Caenorhabditis elegans: one gene and its partners. The protein of the gene in region 2 purifies or fractionates together with the protein of the main gene of each other region. This does not show direct contact. Each region holds a gene or a part of one and is shown on either strand. Other genes may lie near its edges.

Evidence for each region.
Region 1: the proteins of stl-1 (region 2) and mrps-2 fractionate together in Caenorhabditis elegans (co-fractionation; one large-scale study listed by BioGRID). This does not show direct contact.
Region 3: the proteins of stl-1 (region 2) and R07E4.3 fractionate together in Caenorhabditis elegans (co-fractionation; one large-scale study listed by BioGRID). This does not show direct contact.

The regions. Positions count from the first base shown.
Region 1 is NC_003283.11:8,463,095-8,468,909, reverse strand, and holds mrps-2 (Small ribosomal subunit protein uS2m), read right to left. Parts: upstream 3,225-5,815; coding exon 3,153-3,224; intron 3,109-3,152; coding exon 2,920-3,108; intron 2,723-2,919; coding exon 2,522-2,722; intron 2,443-2,521; exon of another isoform or gene 2,354-2,442; intron 2,217-2,353; coding exon 1,884-2,216; 3' UTR 1,751-1,883; downstream 1-1,750. Other genes in the region: mrpl-4 (Large ribosomal subunit protein uL4m), read right to left, coding at 78-153, 771-1,015, 1,067-1,645; natc-1 (Protein MAK10 homolog), read right to left, coding at 3,689-3,824, 3,870-3,992, 4,060-4,354, 4,445-4,663, 4,743-4,966, 5,017-5,815.
Region 2 is NC_003279.8:9,485,055-9,490,999, reverse strand, and holds stl-1 (Stomatin-like protein stl-1), read left to right. Parts: upstream 1-2,970; 5' UTR 2,971-2,973; coding exon 2,974-3,020; intron 3,021-3,069; coding exon 3,070-3,205; intron 3,206-3,247; coding exon 3,248-3,406; coding exon of another isoform or gene 3,407-3,410; intron 3,411-3,470; coding exon 3,471-3,778; intron 3,779-3,859; coding exon 3,860-4,184; 3' UTR 4,185-4,355; downstream 4,356-5,945. Other genes in the region: sacm-1L (Phosphatidylinositol-3-phosphatase SAC1), read right to left, coding at 855-1,525, 1,765-2,299, 2,347-2,503; gly-21 (GLYcosylation related), read right to left, coding at 4,460-4,635, 4,680-4,810, 5,012-5,121, 5,165-5,310, 5,747-5,900. UniProt on the Caenorhabditis elegans protein: Mitochondrial protein that probably regulates the biogenesis and the activity of mitochondria.
Region 3 is NC_003284.9:5,950,793-5,955,480, reverse strand, and holds R07E4.3 (Cytochrome b-c1 complex subunit 8), read right to left. Parts: upstream 2,024-4,688; coding exon 1,751-2,023; downstream 1-1,750. Other genes in the region: R07E4.5 (VWFA domain-containing protein), read left to right, coding at 2,311-2,472, 2,518-2,703, 3,117-3,468, 3,522-4,678.

The DNA of each region.
Region 1 (5,815 bases), on a different chromosome or scaffold from region 2:
ATAAGAATAACAATCAAAAACAAAAAGAAAAATAAGCCTATTAAAAATTCTAAATTACAAAAAAACAAAATATCGAATCAAACAACTGGTGGCATCAATGGATCCTCTTCTGCTTCCGCCTCTTGAAGAATCTTGTCCTTGTAGTCCATATATCTGAAAATTTCCCATTTATCTCTAAAGTTCTTTGGGAGTAATTTTTTCACTTGTGTAGTGGCTTTTCGATTTTTTCTGAGAAAATAAAAACTGCAAAATCTAAAACAAATATGTTCGATTTTTAAAAATCGGGGAACAAAATGTTCGGGAAGTTACCCATAAAACGCAATTCTAACTTTGTTTATGCTGATGACTATTTCTCGAAAAATCAAAAATTCGTTTCGAAATATCGGAAAAATGAAAACTAAAAACATTTTTAACCGGTTACCTTGGTATTATTTTGTTTTTTTTCGTTTACTTTTATTTCTATTTTTTTCAAAATTTTTAAAATATTGTTTTTCAATAAGTTTCATTTCAAGAAAAAAGCGTTGCTGCTACACCAGGGCTGTATCCTTATTGGTTATTTTGGTATTTTGACGAAAAATTGATTTTTTGGTTTTGAAACCAAAAAACCGAAACATTTTTCAATTATCAGCGTTTTTTGAAAAGTAATTCAATTTTTTTTGGTTTTTCGCAAATTTAAATTGTTTTGTTTTTTGATCCAAAATTATTTTTTTGGTCCCAGCCCTGTGCTACACAAGTGACGTTTTTTAATTGTTAATTTTCCAAATATTAACCTGTATTTCTTATTCATCGGCCCAGCTCTATGCATTTGTGTGAGAAGTCGTTCTTCAACTCTTTCCAATGCACTTCGTGACAGAACAATAGTATCGTATTTCATTAATGAGAAGCAATTCAGACCATACACTGGCATCACATTGAGCCACGGAAGAGCTTGTTGAGCTTCAGCAAGTCCACCGCTAATCTCATCACAATCATCAACGAAAAGAACAGAGTATCCGTAGTTTCGAGCTTCGCAAAGCTGGAATTTTTGAAATTAAAACAGAAAATGATTTTTCTATAGATAACTTACATCAATCCAATATTTAGGGTCTCCATTCTGTAAGTTTTGAATTTTGTCAACAATATGCAAATCGTCTTGTGTGTGCTTTAGAGTGAGAGCAACACAAAGTCCCTGAATTCTGACTGCGTCTGGAAGCATGTAGAACCACGTTCTCGGTCCACGAACACCATTTGCGAAACCTCCTCGAATAAATTGTGGGGAACGAATAGAACCAACGTGAGCCCGTCCAGTCTTCTTTTGAGGCCACGGCTTTCTACCCCCTCCGGGCATTTCAGCTTTTGTCAACATTTTCGTCATTTGCACATTTCGATATACACTTTGCCACGTGAGGTTACGGTGTAGAATATCGATACGCGGTGATGTTCTGAAAATGTCTGGATGGAGATCCACGAGTCCGAGCTTCTCATCTTCGATGGTATCCAAATTTGAAACCCAAGCTTGTGGAGTTTTGATGAATGGATTTTCTGGTTTTCGCCATAATTCTCTTCGTGTATCGATGGATTCGCCAGATGAAGTCGAGGAAACATCCTGAACAGCCGATGAGAATGCTCGACTTGAAATTAAAAAACGCAGCTGCCTGGAGAGCATCTGAAAAGGGATAAGGTGTATAAATAATTTTAAAAAACCAAAAAAAAAGAAAGATATGTTCTAACACTGTTCGTTTACAGTAGTGATTCAAAATTACGATTTGAAAGCAATATTTTGATTTTTTAAATAGGTAAACAACTGGATATTTAGAAAATGAAGAAACAATCAGAAAACAAGGAAAACAAAAGATCTAATCAAAAATTTTGAAATCTTGAAACTAAATACTAAAAATTAAAATTTATTTTCCTTGCTGCTGACGTTTTCGTTCTTCTTGTCCTTTTCGAACGGCTTCCTTGAACATTCTGAGCAAATATTCAGTGGATTGTGGTGTATCATCGTTTGCAGGAACCAAATATGTCAAGTAAGCCGGATCCGAATTCGAGTCAACTACTCCAATTGTGGGAATCGCCATTTTTGCGGCTTCAACGATGGCTGGATGGTTTTCGCCGAGTGATGTGAGGGTTGACAGGAAGCAGACAGCATCTGGAAGTCGAACTGAAGCTCCGAGAAGTTGTCGAGTGTTCGTTAGAGTTCCTGATTGCCACTTTCGAACGTGAGAGTATTGCCCAACCTGGAAAATAACACCTTTTCAAATTTTTTTTTGTAAAATTTTTTTGCTTGATTTTTAAAGATTACTGTTTAAAAGACATACATTTTTACAGTAACATTCACAACTAGAAAACAATGGTGAATATTTTCTGAATAAAAAAAAACAGCTCAGGATCGCAAATTCCGCAGAAACAAATAATCTCGCAAGATTATTAATTATCGGATCAAAGTATGTTCACATCACTGCTGTTATGAAAACTCGAACCATGAATCATTTTCCAATAGATTGGTGTTCTCACCCCTACACCACCATGCACACTGTCTCACCTCATCTGCTGCCTTCTCAACATCAAACATGGTGTCTCGATTGGAAGTGACAAAAAGAATCATTCCACCGCGCAATGACACATGAGCAACGAAATTTAGAGCTCTGACGAGATATTTTTTGGTAATATCGAGGTCGAAGAGGCAAACTCCAAGACGTTCACCGTACAGGGCCCACTTCATATTGTTGTTTACTGTTCCGACCTAAAAAAAATTATATTAGTTGTTAATTCAACTTCTCAAGCTTAAAATAAATTTTAAAAAATGCGAAAAAATCCCGAAGTTTTTTTCGTAATTTTCCAGTGCAATTTTCGAAGAAAAGAAAATTGGGAAATCGACTTTTAAACGTATTTCATTCATTTTTTTTAACAGTTAGAACCGCCTTTCTTTAAATAGACTACCTTATGTCCGTAGTGAAGTCTTGCTTTAAACATCTCATCGATATGGACCATTTTTTCAAAATTAAATAAATCTTCATGTTGAAGTGACGCGGAAACGAATGGCTTCAACACTGTTGGCTGGACTGTTCCTTTTTCAAGAGTTGCACGATCCGGAACAGACGACGATGATGAAGTAGATGCAACTGGTTTCTGGAAACAAAGAATTCTAAATTATATTTTTGGTAAATGGTTACCTGCTGCGACGCGGAAAATCGTGTCGAGAAGGCTCTTTCTGTACGGATTGCAGCTGCTACAACTCGTCTCATCTGGAAATTCGTGTTGAAAGAAAACATGGTAAGTAACTAGTAAGTTAGAAAATAAGTAATAATCAATTTGGATACAGAAACCAAAGAATCGATAATTCAAAGATATTTTGCAAACTGAAAACAAACAAGTTCATAGAAGCATAAAATTTGATTTGAAATGTATTTCGATATCTCTGAGAACAATGTGAATGTACTGTACCAACCGAGAAAATTCGTGTGCTATGAAAGGAAAGAAGACGGGGAGGCGGGGTTCACTAGTCTGAATTACTCAATCAATAAAATATGAAAACAAAAATCGAAATATGAATAATTATTTAGCTGATTATATAAAATACATGAAAGAAAAACACGGGGGACTTATGGCATTCTATTGAGATGATTCTTGAATATTTCTGAATCTACTGATGGATTGTGACTGTTGGAGAGATCGCAGCAATAATTGGCAAACAAGAGTAGAGTTGTCATCACTTTTTGCTAATTTTTAGACATGGAAACATTGGAATCTCTTCTGAAAACGACCAAACGACATTTCTGTCCGTCAAATCAAGTTTCAGAACTCTGCAAGCAATAATGTTCGATTTCGCCACGTGGATCAATTGCCTGGAAATAAGAAGATTTTTAAACGACCAAACAGCATCAACCAACATCATTTCGCGATTTTGCTCCACAGAGTTATCGATTTTTTCGAGATGTTCACGTGCTTCATTGAAACTTTTCTGAGCTTGATCGATCAGTGTCTCAATCTTGTCTTCATACATTTGGTCAATTCTGAAATGCGAATAATTATTTGTATACCCATAAAATGACATTTTTTAAAAACGCAGTAAACGCTTACCCCGAATCACTTTTAAAACGTTCGTAATCCACACGAACTGGAGGCCCAAGTGAGTCGAATGGTTCGAATCGTCTTTCGAATCTTAGTTTTTCAGCATCATCTCCACCCTTCGGCATCTTGATGATTCCTTTACGAATCAGAACAACTGTCAGTCTCACAACTCCATCAGAAATCATTGAAATTGCGATTTGATTGAGAACACTGAATTGATGAGCAGCGACACGACGTTTCAACTCTTCTCCAAGTTTACATCTCTCTTCCCACAGTTTTTTGTTTTTAGTCTCTCTCAGTGGATCTGGAAAGTGCATAACAGAAAACGGCTTCATGTCTTTGTTCAATAAATTTTTTGAACCCTAACTGTAACAATTTGATGGTTTTCACTAACTTGCTTGATAAACGTTCAGCTGAATTTCTTGACTCCGTTCCAAAGTTGTTCTCATCCAATGTGCTTGAACTGAACCAATAAACCAGTAAATGTATGGGAACTCGTAAGGAACGTAAAGGTCCATTCGAAATCCAAGTTCGAAATAATGGTTAATGATTGCAAGAAGATTGTGAAACACAAATGTAGCCACTGAGTGATATGAGTAGTTCTGCTCTTTTGCTGCAATGATTTATTTGTGGAATTACTGGGAATTTAGAATAATTTTTAACATAATTTTTTTAATTTTAAATTATCTTACCAGTAACCATTTTTCCGCTAAGCAATACTTCATCAGTTCGCTCTTCCAGTCGTCCAGCATATGAATGGATTTGACCAAGATCTTCAATGGCCATCTCAAGACGATCTCTTTGACGGGATAAATTGCATCCAAAACTACCATAGACGGTGATTGCGAGTTTTGACATGTGATTCAAAAATAACACATATAGACTTTGAGCAGTTTGATCTTTGTAAACAGGAGATCTGAAATAATGAGATAAGTTCGTGATGTATTCTTGTTGAGAAGTACTCACACTCTATCAAGAATTTGTGGGCAGAAGCAGTTGCTCAGTGAGTATTCAACGGCGTCAGCAATTGATCGATTCTCATCACCACACAGATGGTTGTCGACTGGGAACATGCAAATTTGAAGAAGAGATCTGGTGAAGACGCATGCATTCTGACCGAAAGTTCTCGCAAAGTAGAACAAATAGTTCAAATCTTTTGAAGTTTTTGGAGTGACAATGCATAGGTGATATATTCTTTCAGCACACTTCACCCACCAATCAGCAGCTTCTTGTCTTGATGGAACCTTGATTTTTCGAGGGAAGCATGCCGGGATCATTCGTATACAAGTTTTTGGTTCATATGCGCCAAGCCATAGGTAGTCACCATCACCATCAATATTGTCGGGTGCTCTTCTTCCTAATTTAACTGTTTCCGCATAAGCCTTTGTGACCTTGCACAGTCTTTCAGCCAAAATCGAGGCGAATCCAAAATTGGGCTTGAATTGTTTCATATCATCTTCATCTTCGTCGTCGCCTACATTTTCATCATCATTTTGATCAGTTTCATCTGTTGCTTCATCATTACTTTTCTGTTCTTTCTTCTCTGTGGTTTCCGATTTTGCTTCACTTGAAGGCGTTGGATCAGACGTGGATTCTTCTGATTTTTCGTCAGAATTCTCTTCGGCTCCTTCATATTCTTTTTCGTGAACATAGAAATCCCCCAGATGAACTTTGTGATCGAAGTTAGGATCTTCAATTTCTGGTGCAACCAATAAGCCAATAATTTCCAAAAGCATAATAAACATTTCAAGACGGGATGCAACAG
Region 2 (5,945 bases):
TTTTTGGTTACGCGAAAAAAGTTAAGTACTCCAACAACAGTATCACTACAGTAACTCAACAGGATCCCTCCACTAACTCAATCTCAGTATCCAAAAAAACTGAAATTTACTAGAACTACTTGAGCACAAACTTCAATTGTGACCTATATATTTTTAGAAAATATTCATGCATTTGTTTATATCTAGCTTATACTATAAATATTGATTATTAATTCGTAGTAAAAATTACGCAACATAGTTAAAAATATAATCCCTGCCATTGTATTTAGTAAAAAATTTTTCCTAGTGAATATATTTCTAGCAATTAAAAAAAACTATAGTATATAATCTGAAAACTGTTATTTACACAATACCACTACAGTAACCTAACAGTACCCCTCCACGTAGTAAAAATATGTCCGTAGCAAAAGAGTAAAACGTAGTAAAACATCCACGTAGTAAAAGATAAGGTAGTAAAAAAGTGTTTTCCGTAGTAAAAGATCTATGTGATCAAATCGTAGTAAAAGAGAACACGTAGTGAAAGAGCCAATTGTAGTGAAAGATCTAAATGCGGAATTCGTAGTAAAAGAGATTCCGTAGTAAAAGAGATCTTGTAGTAAAAGAGATACGTAGTAAAAAATCAAGTAGTAAAACAGTATTTGCCCATTTTTTTTTGAAAAATAAGTGAGCGAAAATGATTGATATACTGACACACTCATGAATCTGCGAATTCAGATCAAAATATTGAGTTTTTTTGGAATAAAGTTGTAAACTTTACATATTTTTTTCATTGTCAGTTATTGATCTTCTAAAAAATCAACCTTCGATTTCAAACGATTTTCGTTTTTCAAAAAAATAACTTTGATTAAACTCACTTTGTTTGAATGCATCTTCAAGAAGTGGAATATCTTGAACTTTCTGCTCTGAATATAAAATTCCAAGCATTCGAAGTTGTTCGGTGAGTGATTCACGTGCCAACATCGACTGAACCACATTGGTACGATCTAGACAATCCATGCAATTCGTACGGAAAAATCCACGTTGGAATCGACTTGTTTCCATACTATTCGGGGACAAGTAAAAATATCCAAAACTCGAAATTTCTTGGCTTAACTGCTCCCGCAACAAATCAATTCGGTGCCATTGCATAGAATGACATTCTTTGTGAAAATCAAATTGATGGTAACGAACAAATTCGATATTTGCTTGTCGTGATATTCTCTCCAGTTCTCCTCCAACTTTTTTCTCTCTTCCTTTTTGATTTACAAGATTTACAATCACATGTTTACCACCATAGTGTTGCTTGTGCCACGAAAAAGCTCGATTGAAAGCAGCAAGCTGGTCATCTGTTGGTTTCAGTGTAGGCATCGGTTGCCAACGTAGATTTGGTTTTTGAGTCCAGAGAAGAGGAATAGAACCTCTCAATTGCACAAACGAAGTCAGGTGCTTGTCAGGATTCGTGTATTCAACGATTTGTTCTGTTTCAACAAAGTTTGCTGCATGACCATCTACGTCGACTCCACGTTTATAGAAACGGACGCCAGCACTGAAAAATTGAATTATACTAATAGTTTTTTTTTCAGAGAAAACTATGAAAAAACATGAAATTCGTACTAAAAAGGTTAATAATTATTTAAAACTAATATATCTTGGATTCAGACAAAACATTTTTGTGAAAAGCGAGCTCGTTGTTAGAAGTATTAATTTTTTGTCCAGAAAATCGAAATAAACGTTTTTTTAATTATTACAAATTTATTTAAAACATTTTTAAGTAAAAAAAATTACCGATAAATGCTTCTTCTGGATATGATAGTCAATTTAATCTCTTTTCCATTCACATTCACACGATTCTGGCCAATAAAACCATGAATAACGGGCAATGTGTATCTTTCTGCACCAGGGACCTGCCGGATCTGTGACAGTAGATGTCCATTCCATATGAAACGTTCGCTGGCTCTGTCCAACATACTTCTTGTTTTGAACAAAGGAACAGCGTTCTCCTGAAGCCATTGAAATGTGCGTGAGATGTCAAGAGTCGTCGAGTAGTAGAATCCGCCAATAGACAGCACATGAGTGAGCATATCAGTGAATAATCTATTATATCTAATTTGTTTCTCAGTCAAGTGAAGTGTTGTTTTCTTGTAAGGAATAATCTCGGCATCTTGAATAGTCCAGATGTTGTGATTATTAACTTGTCCGATCAAAGAAGCCTTTGTTATTACGATCAAAGCATATCCTGAGACTAGTTTAATTGTTCCCAAAATCCCATAAATAAACTTGATGTCCGTATCAGCAATTGGAACTCGCTGCTTGCGTGAATCTGTAATTATAAATTTATATTTAGATCAGACCAAAAGTCAGACTTACCAATAATTTTCATCACATTTGTGTGTCTATCGATTTCGAGATAATGTTTCGACGCAGCACCACCGCCGAGATCGGTTGGTTCTAAGAAGAATTTTTCTGGGTGTGAGTACAAGTTGAAACTCTCGTAGATGTCCATACTCAATAGACTATCCACCATTTTGGAGAGCTGAAAAGGGAATGAAGTTTGTTGTGGAAAAAAAATATGAAAAAGAAGAACGACGCATGAAAACAAAAAAATCAATAAGAGATACAACAATAGTGATAGAATACATGAAACATGTTTTCTTTGAATGCGAAAACGTGGAAACGGGTGACGACACTCCGTCTTTCATATGGGAGCGTTGTTTACCGTAAATCTACACAGACATTATTTTAAATTAATTGTATTTTTATTCTTTATATTTTTATACTTTGTGAACGTTTCGTTTCTTAAAAATTGAAGAATAGTGGTGTTTATATTAAAATCTCTCAGTCCTGATGTAAATGTGCATATTTTTAATCTATCTCTCCCACTCGGCCACCACCATGACGAAATACTTTTCTGCCATCCTCCTCCCACTAATACATTATTTAAACTGCTGAATCTTTCGAAATTGCATTGCATCATTAAAAATGATTTTACAGAAAATGGCGCTAACTAATCGACTTTTAATGAATTCGTCAGCTCTTCTAAGGTAGGCCGATAAATTAAATTATTGTGAGGGGGGCAATTATATTATTTAGAAGTTCAACGCTCCCATTAGCTGTGACATCATCACGACAGGCCCATGCTGCACATAATACTGTCATCAATTTTGTTCCACAGCAAGAAGCGTGGGTTGTAGAAAGAATGGGAAAGTTCTACAAGATTCTTGAACCGGTAACATTTCCTAAAAGGTAATTAATAAACCAACTTTTTCAGGGACTCAACTTCTTATTGCCTATCATTGATAAAATCAAATTCGTTCAAAATCTTCGTGAAATTGCAATTGAGATTCCTGAGCAAGGAGCCATTACAATTGACAATGTACAACTCAGGCTCGACGGAGTTCTTTATTTGCGTGTTTTCGATCCCTACAAGGCATGTGACGCCTGTTTTTTGATTCGCCTGTAATTGAAAAATAACACTTCTTTGTAAATTGCAGGCATCGTACGGAGTCGATGACCCAGAATTCGCAGTAACTCAATTAGCGCAGACAACGATGAGAAGTGAAGTTGGAAAAATCAATTTGGATACAGTATTCAAGGAGAGGGAATTGCTCAATGAAAATATTGTATTTGCAATCAACAAAGCATCAGCACCTTGGGGAATTCAATGTATGCGATACGAAATCAGAGATATGCAGATGCCATCAAAAATTCAAGAAGCTATGCAAATGCAAGTTGAAGCTGAGAGAAAGAAAAGAGCCGCGATTTTGGAATCAGAAGGAATCAGAGAAGCTGCCATTAATAGGTATAATATTTTTCCAATTACACATTTCATTCAGTAACATCGTGAGAGTTGTAAAAATATTCTAAATTTAAACATTTCCAGGGCCGAAGGAGACAAGAAATCAGCTATTTTGGCGTCTGAGGCTGTTCAAGCCGAACGTATCAATGTAGCAAAGGGAGAAGCAGAAGCAGTAATCCTTAAAGCCGAATCTCGTGCCAAAGCTATTGAACGTATTGCATTGGCTCTTGAGAAAGATGGAGGTGCAAATGCTGCTGGATTGACCGTTGCAGAGCAATATGTTGGAGCTTTTGGAAATCTTGCCAAGGAATCAAATACTGTTGTTCTTCCGGCAAATCTCAGTGATCCAGGAAGTATGGTTTCTCAAGCACTTGCTGTTTACGACTCATTGAGCAATAAGAAAAAGTGAAAATGTTTTGTTTGAGTTTATGTGCAAGCGTAGTTTCCGTTTCTCCATTTTCATATTTCCCTGTTTCTAAATTTTGGTTTACTGGTATTTGAATGTAATTTTACATCATCTTTTCAAAAATCTCTTGATTGTTCGTTATTCTAAATTTTCAGCAGATGAATTAGTTGAATTTTCATTTGAATTCAATTTAAAATGCAGATAACATGATTTTCAGAGGAAAACTGTTTAGTGAAAAATTTGAAAATAATAAACAAAATTTTCTTTAAAAAACTTGATCAACATTGAAAACTATTCTTGTAATAAGTTCCATTAGCTTTCAACAACATCTCACGAAACTGTGGAAAGTAGGAAAGCCATTGAGAATCTGGATTATTTCCTGTTTTATTGGTTTTTATCATTTCACGAACGCAAATTATCGTTCCAAAATCGAAGTTGGCGGTCACTTTGTTTGCTGAAAAATCAATTTATTTATAAACATGAATGTTCAAAAATCACCAATAACCATCGGACTTTTTGAAAGTTCTTGTAGAAATTCGACTCCAATTACACATATTGAATGCCTTAACCACTTGGATTTACAATCTTGATATAGTCCGTCGGATTGTTCAAGATGCCAATGAGTTTGACTGTAATTTTCAGTTTTCTATTTGCAATGTAAGCCTGCCTTCAAGGTGACCTACACGAGCCTGATTCTGCACTTGGTACACTTGGAAATTATTATCATTAGAATTTTCAAGAGAGTCAAATAAAGAGCAAAAAAATAGGTGACATGCAGACATGAGGTAGGCAGGCACAAACAAATGAAGGCATGCCTATCCTATACAAACCGTGTTAATATATCTTCCTTTGCCACGGTACAATTAGATTCCATTTGCCCATCTAATCCCAAATAGTTTTCAAAAAGTGTCATAACCATCATTTCGTCAACCCCAAAAAGCTGAAATTGAATATTATTCTCGTTTTCAAGAGTAGAACATTACCGTTCTATCATCAAATCTTTTGATTACATTTTGCAGATTCACTTTATCAAATAAAGACTTGACAAATACCTTCGAAAGGATTACTTCGTTTAAACTTTTTCGAATTTTTAGTTTTTTGTGGAGTATTTCCAGAGGTACACTTTGTTCTGAAAATAAAATTATGTTACTCTGTCATGTAATTTTTCGATATAAGAATGCGGCACCTCGTCTCAAAGGCCTCCAAGCAAGGAGTACTGTAGCATCTCAAGTCTACAGGACCTTAAAGACGCAAACCTGTTCGTGCTGTTCGATTAGAAAATATTTTGTACTTTTTGTGAGACTGGTTTAATTAAAGACGTTTTGCACTATAAATCCTAAAATTTAAGTAATGTGCAAAAAGAAAAAAAGCATAAAAGTCTAGGCGGCATCAGCCTTTGGAATGGTTTTTTAAAATTTATTTTTTTATTTTTAAGAAATAATTCAGTCGGCTCAAAGAAGTTTTGGTACTTTTAGGAAATGTTTTCTCATCTCTATTTTGTACTATTCTCTATATGAATAAATGTAGTCTATCAAAATTATAAGCCCACATGAAAAAAGGAAAACCATTTTTGAAAAGTTTCATTCCAGCTGGAGTCCAATCTTCAAATGTTCGATATCTACTTGTAAATCCATAGTCAAAACCCATGATACTGGTGTAATTTAGAATTTCACTGAGATCAGATAGTTGTTTAGGAGATTTGATTATCAAGTCGAAGTTCTGAAAATAATATTTTTAAAGAAAGAAAACTGAAAAGAAGAACAA
Region 3 (4,688 bases), on a different chromosome or scaffold from region 2:
GAAAGTGTAGAGAAATAGAAAATACTAGTGAATTGGAGTATATGGGCAAAGAAAAAGTTGAGTGGTTCTTTTCTGTGCGGAATTTTATTGCTAAACTTTCAAATGATAACTGTAGATTTTTTAAAAATATATTGACACTTTTTAATGATTTCGAGATTTGATCATCGCAGAAAGTGCAGTCTGCCGAATATGTTAAAAATTGCAACTAAACAGACCAAAGAAGAGTTGTGCTTTATACTTTTCAAAAAATGTTTACTTGATAATTGACAAATTTTCGAATTGCCAAAAATGTGCTCGCTATTGCCAAAAACGCGAATTTTGAAAATTTGGTAGCTATTAAACTCTTACAAATTGTTCATATTTTCTGTTCAAATTTTCAGAGAAACCCAAAAAATAAATTTCCGATAAGTGAGTGCTACATCATATTAACCCATTGGAATACGATTGGAATAGATTAGGACATATTTAAAAAGAACACCATCCTTGCAGTGTAAGTTGGTGAAACATTTTTTCAGAGGAAAATGAAAAGTCCCACATTGTGAACATTTAAAATTGAATTCAGCAGCCAATTTCCTGAGACAGAAACTGTAAATAAATCGAAAAACCTTACAGAAGAAAGCTCGAGAATATTACGGAATTATGAATCAATTATCTGCTTTCAAAGGTTTTCACGCTTTCCGTTTAATTTGTTTTGTTCGAATCAGAAGATAACAAATCAAATATTTGGCAAAGCTGCTGTCAAAAGTATCCATAAAACAAAGACTAACAGTATTTTTTGAGCGGTATAAAAGGTTGAAAGATCAAATCGAGTTAAATTTAGATAAATGAAAGAAAAATTGACCAGCCAGCGATAATATTTTGTAACTAATTTTTCAGCTGTCTGGAAGTAGACTTTTTTTTGAATAGAAACAACAAAACAAGCAAAACGGTTGCTAGACGCAAATACATGCTCTACATATCTCTTTAGTTACCAATGTAAAAAAGTATAAATCTTCTGACAGCATAGATCAGCTTCAAAACCTGTGGTTTGCCACTTGTGGTTTGAAATCTTTTTAGGATGACAGTTTTGTTTAGAAAATATTAACTTTGACTTTTTCTAATTGCTTTTTTCTGGAGAATATTTTTTAATTTTTCCCCACGTTCCTGAAATGACTAAAAACAATAGCAAAAAATTTTTTAAGTTTGCGATTGTTTTATGTGCAGTCACGAAGTAGTGAAAATTCAGTTTGCTCTTTTATATAATTGTTTTTGAAGTCGTCCTACGGTTTACTAATTTTGTTTCGGAAAATTTGGCAACTTGCCACAATTTTGACTGAAGTTTTTGAAAAATCTAAAATGTATTCAAGTGTTTAATTATTCTACTACAAACGTTTTTGAAAGAATTATTAGAGGTTCTTGCCGATTATACTGTTTTAATGCGTACACATACTAATAATAGTCTATCTTGCATGTTTGCAATGTTTGATTTGACTATATCAAACATTAGAATACCGCATTTGATCCTTTAGTCTGGTATTTCCTTGCTTAACTTTGGCAGTTCTCCCGCCTGATTTTTTACGTATGAAAACATTATCAGCTGACAAAATAATTAGCTTTTTTTCTTGTACTGCAGTTTTAAAGTAAATCATATTTTGATATGCTTGTGTACAAAAACACATTGTGATTCTAGTAATACATTTTATTTGAGAAAAAATTCCAACGTTGATTTCAATTAATACATTGAAATAACTAATCCAACTTCTTCCACAAGTTATTCGTCGTTGGCAAAATCAGCTGGATTTTTGCGGTTTGCAGCAACATTTGTCTTCTTGGCCCAATCGTAGAGAAGATATGCACCAATAGTTTGTGGAATGTAGTAGTACCATTGATCCCAAACGTAGGTTTTGAAGGTTCTCACAAATGCCTGATCGAAGAATCCTTTATAAGCTTTTTGTTCGTTTGGAGCCAATGCAAATCTATGCTCTCCATACATTTTTCCCAAATTTCCAAAATGTTTTCCCATTGCAACGGCTGAAGGCCTCATTTTTATCTGAAATAATAAACAAATTAAGAAGTTAAAGTAAATTTCAATGGAAAAAGTATACAGCAGTTGCGACGAGCGCCTCAGTTGGTTGGTGTGCAAGGACGCTCCATTGAGAACACGCTGCGAGACCCGGCCGTATAAATGTGTGCACCTTGGAGGGTGCCTCTGTCGTTATACGTTAAGTTTCCTCATTTATTATCCAATTTTTAGATTTTTTTGCAAAGTGTGGTTTTTATTTCTTTACTTTTTAAATGCTATTTTAGAAATTGAATATTGTTCTTTCAGGAATGCCGTTTCCCAACCAAATTCACTTTTTAGTCGACGCGAGTATAAAAATGCATGCAATTATCGATTGTGATGCGACACCAATGGAGAATGCGTACATTTTTCTGCGTGAAATTTGCAAAAAAGGAGATCATCAGCCGACCTATATCGATAGAGTTCATATTGTGAGTTTTTGAAGCAATAGTTTATAAAGTTTACACTTTTTTCAGCACATTGGTGATAATTACATTGAACTGGAAGAAGGAAAAGCACTGAAGATGTTTGAGGATTCGAAAAGTATGATTTTTGAGCCATCAGATCAGAATGATTTTCTTTCGCTTTGGAAAACTGCGTTGGACGCCGATGAGGATGAAAATGCGTTATTTTTCATTGTATCCACTATTGTTAATGAAAAAGTAAGTTGTCACCACATTAAAGGTGGAGTAACGCCAGAGAGGAAATTGTGAAAAATCACTCTTTTGGTGTTGAAATAACTAAATATCATTTAAAAAAAATTTCGGCAGTGTTCGGAAAACTTCAAAAAAGCGATGAAAAGTAAGCTTTCACCAGTCTGTTTTGGAAGTTATCGATGAAAAATAATAATTTCCTTTTTTATGTTATTCATGTTGAAAATATTTATATTCCAACATTGTAGGGATTTGTGTTTCATTTCTCGAAGAGTGGCACAAGCTCGGTTGTCACCGCTTTTTGGCCAAAAATATTAATTTCCAAAATGTTTTGAAAAGTTTCAAAATTATATTCAGTCATTGTAACACCATAAAACTTTACCTTTAAATAAGAAATAAAAAAAAAACAATCATAAATTCAGATTCTCAAAATGTTCCACAAATACCACAAAAAGATGACGTTTCTCGATTTTTCTGGAATCAAACTAAATATTTCTGAACGACTCAAAAGCGATGTTCATCTGGTTGAACACGGAACTTCAAAAAAACTAGCTGCGACAATTCACAAGAAGATTACCGAGAACTACGTCACAACGGTCAATTTCGGGACTTCTTTTGGAGTAGAACTTGCACCTTGTACTGTGAGAAAAAATGTGCCCTACGAACTTACCAAAATTGACATTGTTGGCACATCAACATATCAGCCACTGGAAACGATTTCAGTTTTGACGAGAAGTTTCCTTCTTCCAATTGACAAGTGCTATGACAAAAAAGGTAACTACTGTAATATGCAAATGTTTTAATTATTTAACCTGTCCTATTTCCAGGTTCGAAAGTGAATAATGCAGTCGCATATTGTGTTTTGAAAGAGATCATTGGTGATAAGCCTGTAGCACTCCTGGAAAAAGAAGATGAAAACGATCGGAGTTCTGATACAAGCCTTGAAAAATCCAATGAAGATATCAAAAAGGAAATTGACGACATGAAGTCTGAAACAACTGCGCCAGTTGTTCCAGTGAAACCTCGAGCACCGAAAAAAAAATTTCCAAACCTTGTTCCCAACAATGAAAACGGCTACGAAGGAGACGGAGAGTCTGGTCCAATTACAGCCGAAAATGTCAAAAATGAAAAAACAAATTTGACTAAAGGAGGGAGAAAGCGAAGATTGCAAACCCTCGAACCTTCAAATGCAAAGAAAGGAAAAGACGCCAAAAATGGCGATCTACTTTCTGAAGTGAAAAACGACAAAGAAGCCGAAACCAAAGAGAATGAAGACGGAAAAGCCTCAGCAGATGGGACACCAGATCCATTGTTCCTAGTTGCATGTGCAACGGAGCGCTACACTGGGTTACGCAGACCAGTTATTCTTCGACTCCGCGAATTTGACAAAGATGACAAGACTTATTATGATGAAGAAACGCTTAAAGCAAAACTTGAAGAACATGCTGTTAAAAAACTGGAAGAAGAGAAGGACAAACTTCAATCCGCTGCCGCACCTGAAGATGACTCTCCAGCAAGTCCTCCGATGGATTGTCCAGCGTCTCCAGATATGGTTCCCGTTATCCCGCAAACTGTGAAAATCATTCCGACAGTTCCAACAATTCCACTCGAAACACAAGACGTCGATATGCGTGAACCATCAGCTCCCAAGGATGTTGATTACAGATCACAAGATGTTGATTTGCGTGTAGCAGTTCCTGTTGGTGATGTCGATCTTCGTGCTCAAGACAAGGTACAAGATTCTTTACCTGTGGAGGTAAAGAAAGAAAGCTGTATTGTCGACGATGCGGTTGTGCCGGAAGAACCACCAATGGAAGATTTGACAACGAATCAAGATCAGCCGGTTAAGTTAATTCCTTTGGAAGGTCAGACAGAGCTGAAAGCAGCAGAAATCAAGCAAGAAATGAGTGAAGAAACAGCCGCAGATGATAATCAGTCACAGGAGAATGTTTTTGATTATGGGAAATATATTCAGATCATTGTGGTAAGATTTT